Linked DNA regions of Elephas maximus indicus. The protein of the gene in region 2 interacts with the protein of the main gene of each other region in a pairwise test. Links are inferred from orthologs where the notes say so. Each region holds a gene or a part of one and is shown on either strand. Other genes may lie near its edges.

Region 1 (6,889 bases), on a different chromosome or scaffold from region 2:
TCTGGGACTCTGAAAGCCTGCCGGGCCCCTCCCCTTCGCTTTCCCTCATCCACGCCCCAAGTGCTAAGAGATCACTTCTGAAATTCCAAGGATTTCCATGGGACCCGGCCTGGGGATGTCTATCCCCAACTGCCGCACTCCCCAAGTCATGAAAGAAACTTCAGCCAGAATAACGGACTGGAAACTTACCGAGAGCCGCGGAAAAAGTCAGAGTCGGAGTCTGCTCCCTCGCTAGGGCCTCGGTGCCCCGCCCTTCACCTCCCTCCTTCCACCCTCTGGAGGCCCCCGCCTCCCTCGCAGCCTGCCTCCCTCCCTCCCTACTCACTCTCCCCTCTGGCTCACCCTCTCTTTCTCCCCTTCAGTCTTGGAACTTTTGCTCGCTCTCTTTCTCCTTTTGCCTCTTGTCTCTCTTTCTCCTGTCCCTCCTCACTGCCCAGGCCTCCTTCTTTCTCTTCTCTCACTGTCCTGATTTCTCTTTCTCTGCTCCTCTCAATATATACTGACCCTTTTATACCCACCCTAGCCGCACCCAGCTGAGGTCTGCAGCCAGGGGGAGGGCCCAGATTCTTAGGTTCCTCCTTCTCCTGGCCCCCACCCGCTGCCCCCCAGATGGGTATCTCTGGGGCTGCCTCCCAGTGTGGAGATGAGAAATTCTCCCAGGGAAGCTTTGGGGTGGGGCTGGCTTCAGGGGCTGATTCTCAGGCCTCCATGTCTTGGCCTGGGACTGGATGTCTGTTGCTTGGTGGGGCTTGGGGCTGGACACTCAGAATGGAGGGGGTTCAGGGAAGGAGGCTGCATTCCGGAGGACTGGAATGAACTGGGGGCTGGTGGAGCTGGTACCATGATAGGGGAGAGGGGTCAAAAAAAACCAAACCCATTTCGGTTGGGTCGATTACAACTCATGGTGACCCCCTGTGTTACAGAGTAGAACTGCTGCATAGGGTTTTCTTGTGTAAGGAAGGAGCCCTGGTGGCACAGAGGTTAAGCATTCAACTACTAACTGAAAAGTTGTCGGTTTGAATCCACCAGCAGCTCCATGGAAGAAAGATGTGGCAGTTGGCTTCTGTAAGGATTTACAGCCTTGGAAACCCTATGGGACAGTACTCTGTCATAGGGTCACTACGAGCCAGAATTGACTCAATGGTAATGATTTTTTAATCTTTGTGGAAGTAGATCACCATGCCTTTCTTCCTCTGTGCTGCTGCTGGGTGGGTTCAAACCACCAACCTCCAGGTTAGTACACTTTGCCACCCAGGGACCATTGGCAGGGGCTACAGGGATGGAAAATGGAATATGTGAGACTCTGGAAGGTGACAAGAGTTGGAAGTTATGAATCTCAGCTCCATTATTTCCTGGCTGGTTGACCTCGGACCAATTATTGGTTCCTAATCTGTGAAGTGGTTATAATAAAGGCAACACTGCTAATGATAATAATACTGTAACGATCATTCTGACACTGTAATGAGTATTGAGTAAGGTAATAACCGTATGTTATCACACCTACCCATTCCTTCCTTCCTCATTTATTGTACATCTACTGTGAACCAAGAGTTTGTAATGAACAAAGCAGATTATAATGTTACTATGGAGTTTACCTTCTAGGAGCGGGAGACATATTATAAAGTGAAAACATACCAATGGACAGGATAGATTTCTGATCATGATAAGTTTGTTGCAGGAAATATAATACGTGTGATGGAGATTATGATGGGAGGCTGCTTATATAGGGTGATCAGGGAGGCCTCTTTGAGGAGGTGACGTTTGATCTGAGACCTGAAAACAAGAGTTATTTGAATGCTGGAGGGAAGAGGAAACAGCTAGCGCAAAGGCTCTTGAGAGAACAAGCTGGAGTTGTTGGGAGGACAGAAGACCTGTGTGGCTGGAGCATCGGGAGCTAGAGGGAGTGGTGGGAAGGAAAATCAAAGGGGGCCCTTGAAGGCAGTGGGTGGAGTTTGGATTTTTCCCTCAGTGCAGTGGGGCACCGTTGGAGGGTTTTAAACAGAAGGGTTACATGATCCGTGTAGTACCAGGGACTTAATGTTAATCGAATTTATTCTTTGGTTATTGATTTAGGATGGGGTGATGACTAGGTATCTAAGTCTTTTGCAAGGATTGGGTGGCGGGGACATGTCTAATGTGAAAAGTGAGGGACAAGGGACCAGGGATCTGGGATCCTGATGTGGAATTGTGTGTGGGAACTTGAATCCTGGATCCCTCCAAGGGAACTGCACGATTGGATGTCTGAGTGTCTGATGGGGCCTGGAGCTGGGACTGAAGAGAGAGTTGTTGGTCATTTGGGCTTCCTGGGGACTGGGGGTGGAGGATGGATAGTTCAGTGACTGGGTGAGTTTCTGCAAGACTAAGAATCTGGGATACCAGTATATCCAGACTGGCAGAATTCAAATCCAAGCTGTTTTAGTTATCAACTGTGTGATTTGGGGCAAGTTGCTGATAACCGCTCTATGTCTCAGTTTCTTCCTCTGTGAAATAGGGATAAAGATCATGGGGTGGCTCTTAGAATAGTACCTGGCACACAGTATACATTCTGTTAGTTATGACCAGGCATCTAGAGTACTGAGTGGATTCGGTACTGGGAGACCCTAGGTAAAGGGCCCCAGGATTTGGGGAAAAAGCAATTCTTGGTCCGTGAGGGAAGGCTAAAACTGGGAGTCCAAAATGAGGAGAGCTTGGAGGTGGGGGATGAGTGGTCCCAAACTTAAGTTCCTTATAAGAACAGAGACTGGAGGTTTGAACTTTGATCCTCAAGGAGGTAAGAAGGTCTGTGTTACTGAGGGAAAAATTAGAGGCTAGAGGGTCATGTGCCCCTCATGGAGTGCAGGGGAGGGGGGCTGGACCTGGATTCTGGGAACAGTGGGGGGACCAGGGACTAGGGTGATAACTTGAGCGGGAAGGTGGAGAATAGTAGGCTGGAGCCCCGAATCAAGTTCCCTGAGTGGAATCAGCACGAGACTTCGGTTCCCGGGAGGTAATGAGGGGTCCCCCATGTCAGGCGTCGGTGGAACAGGAAGAATCGTGAGGCCCGAGGGCTGTGGCGGAATCTCCCCCTCCTGGGCCTCCGAGCGGAGCTGAGCGCCTATGGGCCGCTTCCTCCCACAGGAAACCGCAGGCGTCGGGCACACCCAGCCTGCAGGGAGCGGCGCCCACAGCCTGCCCGCCCCGGGAGGCCCACGTGGGCAGCGGCCGGCGGCGTAGCTGTGTGTCACCAGACAGGGGGCGTGGCCGGAAAGCGGAGGCAGGGCGGAGCGCCCGAGGCCACGCCCACTCCAGCGACTACGTGCGAGGTCCCCTTAAGCGGCCCAGGGTGTTTTGCGGGTTCGCTTGAAGCCGTTAGCCGCGCATGCGTAGTGAGCGGCTGCGAGGATCTGAGGCGGTGGTGAGCGCCCTACCCTTCACAACTCCGGGCATCGGCACCACCTCTCTGCTAATGAATCCTCAAAATAACGTGGCCTTAATCAGCCTAAGACAGGCACCTCTCGGACCCTGTTCTGAAGGAACTCGGCCTAGCTCCAAAGCCCTTCCAGCGCCTTCCGGACGTTTTCCTCCCAACCCTGCCTCTCCCTCCCGGAAACACTCGGCCCACCCCTCACAGTCCCGTGCTTCCCAGACAGACCATCCCGACCTCCTCCAGGCCCTTCTAGCCTGAGCCCTTCCAGATAAGCCCCGCCCCTCAAGGCCCTCCTGGCCCCGCCCCTCAAGGACCCTTCCAGCCCCGCCCCTCAAGGCCCTCCCAGCTTATCCTCAGTGCCCTTCCGGCCCCTCCCCTCATAGGCCCTCCAAGCTCCGCCCGCCACCGGCCCTCCCAGCCTCACCCCTCAAGGCCCTCCCAGCCCCGCCCCTAATCGTCCGCCCAGCCCCGCCCCTTAAAGGCCCCCCAAGCCGCTCCCCTCATCGCCCACCTAGCCCTCTCCTCACCTTCTTCCCAGCCCTGCCCCTCCCAGAGCTTCCCCACCTACCTGTTCCAAGCCCCTTAGAGCCCCCGCAGGCCTTCCCCTTGGAGCTTCTTCCGCCCCCCCCGCCCTCAGCCTCTCCCCCTCTGCCTCGGTCCCTCCCTGGCCGCTGTTCCCAGGTCTCATTGGCCCCTCATCTCCCCAGTAACCAGACCACAACAGTGCGCTCGGAGGCACTGCGGCAGGTAGGTCAGGTACCCCACGGCTCGGAGACACTAAGAGCCTCCTGTCCCCAGCGCCAGGCTCCGAGCTGGGACTAAAGACATGTGCATGGCGGGGCGTCCGGGAGGGGTGGAGCGGCCGGAGCTGGTTCTGGAGTCACCCCCTCCCCACTCAGTCCCTCGCTCACCCTCTTTCGGCCCAGCCTACCCGCTGTCTGAATGGGTGCTGTGTCGGCCCCTGCAGGAGCCCCACCCTCTGTGGCCAAGATGCCCTTGGGACACTCAGCTGTGAGCACTCGCTCCGAGGAAAGCGAGGCCTTCCTGGAGGGCATGGGTAATTCATGCGTTTTTTCTTCATTCGCTCATTCTCTTCCCGCCCTGAGAGTTCCCGAGTTCCATGCCCTGGGGACAGGTGCGCCCTCTAGTGGGAAGTCGATCTGCTTCTAATGGAGAGGGGCCAACCTGCGAAGTGAGGTCGGCCTCAAAGTCTTCTGGCAGGAGGAATTTGAGTGGAGCCCAGAACTCCTCGTAGGAATTACCAGGGGGAGAAGGAAGGGGAGCGTGTTTCAGCAGAGAGAACAGCATGTGCCTAGAGCGGGGGTTCTCAGCCTTGGGATTCGACGCTTCTTCATTGTGGGGGGCTGTCCTGTGCTTAGGAGCCCTGGTGGTACAGTGGTTATGAGCTCAGCTGCTAACTGAAAGGTCGGCGGTTCCAACCCATCAGCCTTCCAAGGGAGAAAGATGGGGCAGTCTGCTTCCCTAAAGATTACAGCCTTGGAAACCCTGTGGGGCAGTTTTCTCTGTCTTGTAGGGTCGCTATGAGTCAGAATTGACTGGACCGCAACGGGTTTAATTTTTTTGTTTTAGTCCTGTTCTTTGAAGGATGTTTAGTAGCATCCCTGGTCTCTACACACTAGATCTCGGTAACACCTACTCCTCCGCCCTCAGTCGTGACAATAAAAAATGTTAGTGGGGGTAGGGGGCAGAATTGGCCCTGGTTGAGAACTACTGGGCTAGCGCAAAGTGCCTTGGGGTTGCAGACGTGGGTAGTCAAGTCAGGTGGGGCCTTGAACACGCGGGAGCTGGGACTTTGCTGGGGCGCTGGGGAGCCAAGAGAGAACTGTGAGTAGAGGGGAACAGGCCCTGCTCTGGGGCTGTTAGGGCAGGCCGGGGAGGGTGGGGAGGAGGCTGTGTGATGGTCCAGGCAGAAGATGCAGGCACTGGGCAGAAAGAGTGAGGAGACAGGAGGAGGGGGCCTAGGCTGTGGAGGCTGCAGGGGAGGGAGGGAGCGAGGACGGTGCCCGGGGGTCTGGTGGTAGCCGTGGGGGCCTTGGGGCCAGAGAGGCCTTCCAGGAGCGCCCTCTAGTGGGCAGCAGTCGAGTTCCCAAACCTGGGGTTGAAGCGGGTTTAACGGAAATAACTTGGAAACCCTATGGGGCAGTTGTACTGTGTCCTATAGGGTCGCTATGAGTCGGAATTGACTCGACGGCAGTGTGTTTTTTTTTTAACCCGAGGTCAGCTCGGAGAACAGAGAGTCTGAAGAGGTGGGGGGAGCTGGAGGGACACAGGAACTGAGATGCAGTCCAAAACTGGGGGGCTGGGTCTGCAGCGGCAATTTGTGGGACCCTTTTTTTTTTTAGTGGGCAGTGGGTGGAATGGGTTTAGACCAGAATGGGGGCCCAGATTCGGATCGAGTCCCTTTCCCGGCCCCGCCCCCAGTGGACTGGGAGCTGAGCCGCCTGCAGAGACAATGCAAGGTGATGGAAGGCGAAAGGCGGGCCTACAGCAAGGAAGTCCACCAGCGCATCGACAAGCAACTGTGAGCCCGGCGCCTGGGGCGCCTGGGTCCCCGGACTGGGGGGAGTTAAGGGAGTCAAGAGCTGGACTCGCGGTCTGAGCGATGCTGAGCTCCGCCTCCTTGCCGCCCCGGGCAGGGGGGAGATCCGGCGCCTAGAGGAGCTGCGGGCCAACCTCCAGGTGCAGATCAGCGTCGCCCAGAGCCAAGTCAAGCGGCTACGGGACAGCCAGCGGCTGGAGCGCATGGGCCACCTACTCAAATGCCGGGCCCAGGTGCAGGCCGAGGTGGAGGAGTTGCAGAAGCAGACCAGAGCCCTGGACAGGAAAGTGAGTTCTGAGCCCAGGCTCCTGGGAATCCCAGTTAGGAGCGAGCGGCCTCACCCCTGTGAGCCTTAGCTTCCTCATCTGAAAAATGGAGCAATGGAAAGAACCACCTGGTGGGCTGGTAAGGAGTCCTGGTAGTGTAGTGGTTAAGAGCTCGGCTGCTAATCAAAAGGTTGGTAGTTTGAACCCACCAGGGAGAAAGATGTGGCAGTCTGCTTCTGTAAAGATTACAGCCTTGGAAATGTGGCAGTTCTGTTCTGTCCTATAGGGTCACTATGAGTTGGGGTTGACTTGATGGCAGTGGGTTTTGGTTTTTTGGTAGGTTGGTAACCCACCTGGTGTTCGGTCTCCAATGGGAACATGGATGTTTAATGTAAAACACAGTCCCCGACATTCAAAACGAGGACTAGCATGGGGTTGTCATGAGCTGGAATTAACTCCACAGCAATTTTATTTTATTTTTTTAAATTAATTGTTAAGTAGGGTAGTCCTTATGGGCTTAAGCATAACGATTGTGTAGATGGCAAAGGACCAGGCAGTGTTTCGTTCTGTTGTACATAGGGTCGCTATGAGTCAGCACCAACTTGGCACCACCTAACAGCAACAACAGGGTGGTCCTTGGGTGGCACAAGCAATTTG
Region 2 (7,680 bases):
TTGGAGTTGCTGTCTGGTTGGAGTTCGGGCTGACATATCCCAGGAGGTGGGTCCCCCAGGAACTGGCCCCCCTCAGCTAGCCCTGGCTGGATGGCAAACATCTGGTCTGTAAGGGGGAAGCAGAAGAATGAGTCACGGAAAGACAGAGTGGGGTGCCTGAAGTCACACCAACCTAGCTGCTGGGGTGAGGTAGTAAGCATGAGCCTGGCTGCTCCTTCTCAGTCCGTTTCCCTTTGTGGTTTTCCCCCACCCTCTCTGACTGTTCTCAGTCTCCTGCATAGACTTTCCTCTACCCATCCCTTAAACACTGGTGTCCTCAGCCCTCTGAGACAGGTGTCCTTCTATTCTCATTTTTATGCAGTCTCCCCTGATGACCTCATCCTCTACTGTAGCTTCAAGAACCATCCATACGTTGGTGACTCCCAAATCTGTCTCCACCTCAGATCCAACTGCCATCCGATCCTGCAACCTAGACATCCCCCAGGCTCCTCAAATTCTGTGTGTCCAAACCAGCTCTCCCTCTTCAGTGGCCTCAGCAAACGGCTCCACTAGCCATTCAATAACCCCAGCCAGAATACTGGGAACATCCTAGACATCTCACTCTTCTTCCTACCCCCTTCTAATCGGCCACCAAATTCTGTAGATTGTTCCTCTTAAAACTTTGTGTGTGTTTATGTACATGTATCTGCTCTCACTTTCACTTGATCCAGGTTACCTCTTACCCACAACTTCTTACTGCCACGGCCCTTTTACTGGTCTCTCTGCCTGTAGTTAAAAATGTAAATTTGATTTTTTACAGCTCTACGTGCTGTCACTAAACTCCTGCTAAACTGCTATATGGCCTACACAAGTCTGCTTGATCCAGCCCCTACTCACCCTTCCACACTTGCCTCTTGCCACTCTGCCCCTCACATCCCATTAAACTGTTCAGAAATCTCAAAACACACCATTACTCTCCTTGGCTTCTGATACCCTTCCTCTTTCCTTCCCTCTAAGCCCCTCCTTTTCCACTTCAAAGCTCAGCTCTAATATCCCCACCTGTCTGAAGCCTCCTTGATAATTCTCCCCTACTCCTCCCAATACACAAAAACATGCACACATTTAACTATGCCTTCCTCTGGGTCCCCATTGCCCTGGGTATACACTGTCTTATCCATGTTTGTTTCCTGTCACTGGCACATGGCTGATGGTCAGTAAATCTCTATTCAACTTTTTTTTTTTTTTACCTATGTTGTAAATAACCCATTGCCATCAAGTCGATTCCACTTCATAGTGACCCTATAGGTCAGAGTAGAACTGCCTTGTAGGATTTCCAAGGAGCAGCTGGTGGATTTGAACTGCCAGCCTTTTGTTTAGCAGCTGAGCTCTTAACTATTGCTCAACAATACCCAGTGCCGTGGAGTCGATTCTGACTCATAGCAACCCTATAGAACAGAGTAGAACTGCCTCATAGAGTTTCCAAGGAGCACCTGGCGGATTCGAACTGCCGACCCTTTGGTTAGCAGCCGTAGCACTTAACCACTATGCCACCAGGGTTTCCAAACAATAATACCTTGTAAATCTTGCTCCTGGACTACAGTGGGAGCTCCTCGATAGACTCTGCATTGTATCACCAGCTGGTGCAAACAGTCAATGCACTTAGCTGTTACTTGAAAGAAAGGTTGGAGGTTGAAGTCCACCCAGAGGCACCTTGGAAGAGAGGTCTGGTGCTCTACTTCCAAAAAAAAAAAAAAAAAACAGCCATTGAAAATGCTGTGGAGCACAGTTCTACTCTGACACACATGGGGTTGCCATAGTTAGAATCAATTAGATGGCAACTGGCAGCTGGTTACACGTCCAGGCCTCAGTGCAGAGCCTGGCATTTAGCAGGTGTCAGTATGTACTCCCTGAGTGAGTGAGCTGGGGAGAGGGAGCTGCAGCGGGATTCCCAGGTGCAGGTAACAGGAGGTTAACACTGACTGCTAAGTGCGGGATGAGCTGTGTCCATTTCCCTCCTCTGCCCCAGGGAGCCCACTCCTTGACAAGCTCTCCTCTGAGAGCCCCCTTCCCTCCCAGTGCCCCTGGAATATGTCTATTATCATGAGTCCCGACGCCTGGCTTGCTCCATCCCAAGGCCCAGGAGGGCAAGCAGGGCACACCACTCTTTCCTCTCCAATAACTGGTTTCTACCAAAATTAGGGTTTGAATTGAAAAGAGGTTCCTGTTGACCACACATTACTGGGATTAGAAAAACTGAGGATCAGTAGGAGTGAGGGATACTGTATGTGGCACAGGCACTAGGAGGATCTCTAAAGGTGGCAGGAACCCTCCCCACATCCAGCTGAGACAGAAGTCCTGGAAGGAACGGTGTAGGGATAGTTCCTTTGTCACCTGCACTCCCTACCCCACCCCCAATCCCTCTAGGCAAAGCTTATGAAAGGTGCATGGAGATCTTCCCTCCTTCAAACTTTTCCTAGGCCTGGGTGGGGCCCTGGTGGCACAGTGGTTAAGAGCTCAGGCTGCTAACCAAAAGGTCAGCCGTTCAAACCCACCAGCCGCTGCTTGGAAACCCTATGGGGCAGTTCTACTCTGTCCTATAGGAGTCTGTCCTTTGAGTCGGAATCAACTGGACCGCAACGGGTTTGGTTTTTTGGTTTAGGCCTGGGATGGGCCCTGAAGGAAGATGGGGTGGGGATAATCACGGGTTCTCAGAGATGGCAAAATTAGTAGCTCAGACACCCCAGGATCAAGCCTCTCCCCAAGCTAATTCGCAATCTACCCTGGAGGAGGACTCCCTTCCTGCCGAGCCTTGCGTTAGAGGGAGGCTACTCCCAGGAGACAGGATAGCGACCCTCCTTCCCTAATCTCCCCAAAGGAGGCAGCTGGGCCGAGGCTGCGACGCCCCCTCTCCCCGAGGCTGAGCCCACCTCTCTCCCCGGGCCCCGACTCACGGCCCAGAGGCGCGGCCCTGCGCGGCTGGTTCCGGCTCCGCTCCGGACCCCCGGCGGGAAGTCGGCGACTTGGGCTGGGGATCCCTCGGCCTGGGCGTCCACGCTGGCCGGGACGTGGGCTGCGGGGTCCGTGGCGGCACGCCCAGCCCCAGGCCCTCGCTACAGTGTCTGCGGCGTCAGCGCGGCGGGGCGGGGCGGGGCGGTGGCCCACGTGAGCCGGTTCGGTTTTCCGTGGAGCTGCGCGCTGGGGCCGCCGGAACCGCCTTCCCCCGCCTTGGGCTGGTTTTACTGAGGATTTCCACGTCCAATTTTATCGTCTAACGGCACTGGGCCCCTCCGATTGCTTCACCTCACTGCAGACAGTGATATTTTCAAAATGAAAATCTGATCATGTTACTGCTACTCCTGCCTAAAACTGTTCAATGGCTTCCCATTGCAGGGGAAACCTTAGGGCGGCTGCCGCAGGGCTCTCTGTGCGTCCTGCGCTCTGTCTGCCTGGACAGCTTCATTTTTTGCCCTCCATCTCTACAGTGGGGCCCCTGGCTTCTTTCTGCCCCTCGGCTTTTGCACACTGTTCCTTCTGCCTTAAATTCTCTTTCTTCTTTGATCTGCTCACATTTTAGAGCTCTTCTCAGGGAATCCTTCTCTGACCCCCTAGATCAGTTAGTTCCCCTTTTTATATCCTCTCTGGTCACTGTATTCCTTTTCTTCATAGCAGTTGTCACAATTTGAAATTATGTATCCTGTGATTATTAAAATCATTAAAGAAAGATTTAAGAGAAGAAAAAAAATCCACTCTGGGGCAGAACTTGGGACTAAGGCCCTGCAACCAAGCCCAGATAGATGGCTTCCCCTCCGAAGTAGGGGAATTACCTCCAAAAAAAAAAAAAATTTTTTTTTTTTTTTTACTCTTGGGCTCCTGTACTTTTGCCCAGGTGAAGAGGTAGAATAGGGTATCCAGTACAGGTTTCCGAACCCCAGTGGATTCTTCTCCAAGTCTCATCTTCATGAAGCCTGATTCCCCTCACTCCCTTCCTCCTTGGCGAAAATGTATAGGGTATTTGTTACTGTTGTTGTTAGGTGCTGTCCAGTTGGTTCTGACTCATAGCAACCCTATGCACAACAGAATGAAACATTGCCGGGTCCTGCGCCATCCTCACAATTGTTACTGTGCCTGAGCCCATTGTTGCAGCCACTGTGTCAATCCATCTTGATGGCCTTCCTGTTTTTCACTGACCCTCTACTTTACCAAGCATGATGTCCTTCTCTGAGGACTGATCCCTCCTGAAAACATGTCCAAAGTATGTGAGACGCAGTCTCGCCATCCCTGCTTCCAAAGAGCATTCTGGTTGCACTTCCTCTAAGAGAGATTTGTTTGTTCAAAAAGGGTATGGGGACCCTGTTTCCAACCAAAGGGTAGTTGCTAGAAAAGGATATCATATTTGTTCAGTGAAAATGAGAGAAACCCTCGGTGAGATGGATTGACGCAACAGCCACAACAATGGACTCAAACATACCAACGATCATGAAGATGGCACAGGATAAGGCAATGTCTCATAGGTCACCATGAGTTGGAGCCCAGTGGATGACAACTAACAACAACAATGATAAAACCAAAAAGCATTGGCTGGTGTTAAGGAAGTTGTTGTGCCATCAAGTCATCAATTGCAACTTATAGCGACCCTATAGGACAAGGTAGAACTGCCCCATACAGTTTCCTAGGCTGTAGTACTTACGGGAGGAGCCCTGGTGGTGCTACCATAAATATTTATAGCTTTAGAAACCCTATGAGGCAGTTCTACTCTGTCCTATAGGGTCACTATAAGTTGGAATCGACGTGATGGCAACAGGTTATGATTAATTCTTATTCATTCTTCCAGAGGGAATGGAAGAGGAAAAAATTATGACAAATCCTATTTTAAGAGGGACAAGGAAAAGGCAGAGGTAACTCAATCTTTGGATACTCTCCCAGCTAAGAAAGTACAGATGGAGAGCACAGCCCCTTTTCTACATCAGGTCCTGAGGTCTAACTAAATCAGTTGCCATAGGGTCCAGTTCTCGTAGTGACGCCATGTAGAACTATGCTCCATAGGGTTTTCAATGGCTGATTTTTTGGAAGTACATCACCAGGCCTTTCTTCTGAGGTGCCTCTGGGTGGGCTCAAACCTCTAACCTTTTGTGTAGCAGCAAAGTGCATTAACCGTTTTCACCACCCAGGGACTCTGAAGCTTAACTAGTCTTCCCTTTCCATTATTCACTCCAAGTTCTCCTTGCCTTTAGCCAGGGTTTTCTTCTTTATGAGGTGACCCAGATTCTAACTCCTGAGGGCCCTGAGCCTTTTGTGGTCTACGGTTGTTCTGGTCTTCCCTTACCACAGAGGGATAGTGATCATTGAATTGTTGGGCCTGCCCAGAACAGCTGCCTCCTACCTTTTCTTCTGGCTCTCCCTGCTCCAACCACACGAGTTAAATGGGTTAGTGATGAGCTAAGAGTCCAGGGATAGGAACCTCAGTGCAGGTGAGCCAGTCTGAGTCTTTCTCTGGGACGTTTTGAAATGAAATTAAAACAGGGAAGATGTGAGCCTAAGGCTGCAGCAATCATATTCCCTGCGGAGTGGAAGAAGTCAATCTGTAGTAGGAGAAAATGATTCTGACACAGAAGCAGAGATAAAAGAAAAAAGTCTTGGTGACATTCTAGGCCTGGTTTCCTGAGGCCTACCAAGTAGTTTTGTATACCTTCCAATAAATCCCTTCTTTTGCCAAGGCTAACCTGAGTGGGATTTCCATCACTGGCAACCAAAAGAATCCTGGTTAATGCAATAGCACAAGGTGGAAACCCAGGGGTCCCGTGAGTTCCACTCCTGCACCTCTCGGCCCTCATTTAGTAGTAGCGACTCCATTCCCCCTTGACAGCCATAATCTGCCCAGCCTACACTGTGATCCCCTTCTCTTCTATTTATCTAATATTATGAGGTACCTGAAAGGCAGTGGTATCATTTCTGTGTTCCCTGGTGGAAACATTCCCCCTAGATGCTAAACCTCGCTATAAGGAGAACCTAGAATCTCAGAGACAGGAAGCAAACTCTTTGAGTCAGTAGGTGCATTAGTGGGCATAGCATGCCACCCCCACTTACACTTCTTGGTATGTATGGTAGCTATGAGAGAAGAGCTATCGTATATTTGATTGTTGAGTTAAAGCCTGTATTGTACTTTGCCAAGTAGCACCCCAAACTCACCGGGTATTTTTTCCTGGCTGTCACCAAGCTGAATCATCAATTGGTCATTCCCTTGTTATAAAGCAAGATGCTTCTAAATAACCATATATGTGTTGAGACAAATGAACTTCAAGGGCATCAGACTGTGGTCTCTCTTCTTAGTCAAGGGCAACATTGTGTGGAATGCTCTAGCACTTCATAATTCATGTGTTAAGTGCTCAGACAGGGGTCCTCGCTATGCCATGATTTTCAGAGAAGTAGGAGCCAGGAGAACAAAAAGCCCTGGGAAGGTAGGGACATCCATGTCTGCACAGCCACAGAAAAGCAGATTTACAGATGTCTGTCATTCATTCACAATAGGCTTTCCCAGTCATGATGCCAGGGAATCAATCACCCCAAGTGAAGGGGTGTCTGTAGCCCTGTCCACCTACCCACATACATGCCAGGGACTTAACTGGCAGGGACACAGAAATCACCAGTGGTGGCCAGTGCCAGCAAGCCAGCTCATCCTGAAAATCCAGCAGTGGGTGGTGGGTAGGTGTCTTGGCAAGCAGACAGATACTAGAATCAAGAAGGCTAGCAGTGAGTAGCCAGATCCAGCCCCAGGGGCCAGGGGTGTCAGGCAAGGAAACAAGGGAAGATGACAGGAATTTCTATTCCAGGCAGTAAGACAGGCATAAAGTGGATACTTTCTCAATGCCAATACTTTCAGGAAGAATGGGATGGGAAGGATCAAGGTGATTCAGCCTCAGAGAGCTTTCCCCTTTCCATCCACTTGTTCACATTCAGCACACAGTTACAGAGTACTTACATTGTGCCAGGTATTGAACCTGGTCATGGCCACGGAGAGCTCCCAGTTTAGAAAGGGAAATGGACACAGAAAAAAGTGGGCTACACAATGTGATGGGTCCTGCAACAGAGGTAGAAGACAAATGTAACGAACACAAAGGAAGGCAAGGAAAGGCTTCTTGGAGGTGATATTTGAAGAGTAGAAGCTCAGCAAGAGACAGTGGGAGAAGGCAGAGGAGACTGCATATTAGAGTGTGTTCAGGGAATGTTGAGTGGCCAGTGTGCCTGGAGCTTGGGGGAAAATGGAGGTGGGAAGCTAGGCTGGAGGCTAAAGTCGGCCCGGTTGTGAAAAGTCTTGACTACCATTCCAAGCAGCTTGGGCTTCACTCATCCTGTGGGCAGTAAGGAGATAACTGAGGAAGCCTCCCAAAAATTCCACACCACAACAAAGCATACACATCTAGTCCTGGAGTACAAACAACATTATTGCTACGTGGTTTTTTCTCTTTTCCTGATCCCATATCATCAGCCCAACTTCCTACAAGGCTCTGGGAACTTAGGCAAGTAATTTTAGCCTTTATGGGTTAAATAAACATGATAATAATAATGTTATCATCACTGTGTTGTGGGGAGGCTAAAGCAAGACACTGTGTGCACATACCTTGAAGATTATTACTTTATAGCTGTGAACATTGTAACTCGGGCTCCCATAACCAGGTGGTCTTAGAGGGCTCCTGACACACCAGA

Evidence for each region.
Region 1: the proteins of C3H1orf216 (region 2) and ODAD1 interact in binary tests that used the Homo sapiens proteins (3 or more experiments, as listed by UniProt). The two-hybrid records come from large-scale screens. The link is inferred for Elephas maximus indicus from reciprocal best matches to the Homo sapiens genes C1orf216 and ODAD1.

Annotation. Positions count from the first base shown.
Region 1 is NC_064829.1:98,657,814-98,664,702, reverse strand, and holds the start of ODAD1 (outer dynein arm-docking complex subunit 1), read left to right. Parts: upstream 1-3,882; 5' UTR 3,883-4,348; coding exon 4,349-4,463; intron 4,464-5,848; coding exon 5,849-5,948; intron 5,949-6,063; coding exon 6,064-6,253; intron 6,254-6,889. UniProt on the Homo sapiens protein: Component of the outer dynein arm-docking complex (ODA-DC) that mediates outer dynein arms (ODA) binding onto the doublet microtubule. Involved in mediating assembly of both ODAs and their axonemal docking complex onto ciliary microtubules.
Region 2 is NC_064821.1:77,046,245-77,053,924, forward strand, and holds the start of C3H1orf216 (UPF0500 protein C1orf216 homolog), read right to left. Parts: upstream 3,015-7,680; 5' UTR 2,931-3,014; exon of another isoform or gene 2,907-2,930; intron 107-2,906; 5' UTR 102-106; coding exon 1-101.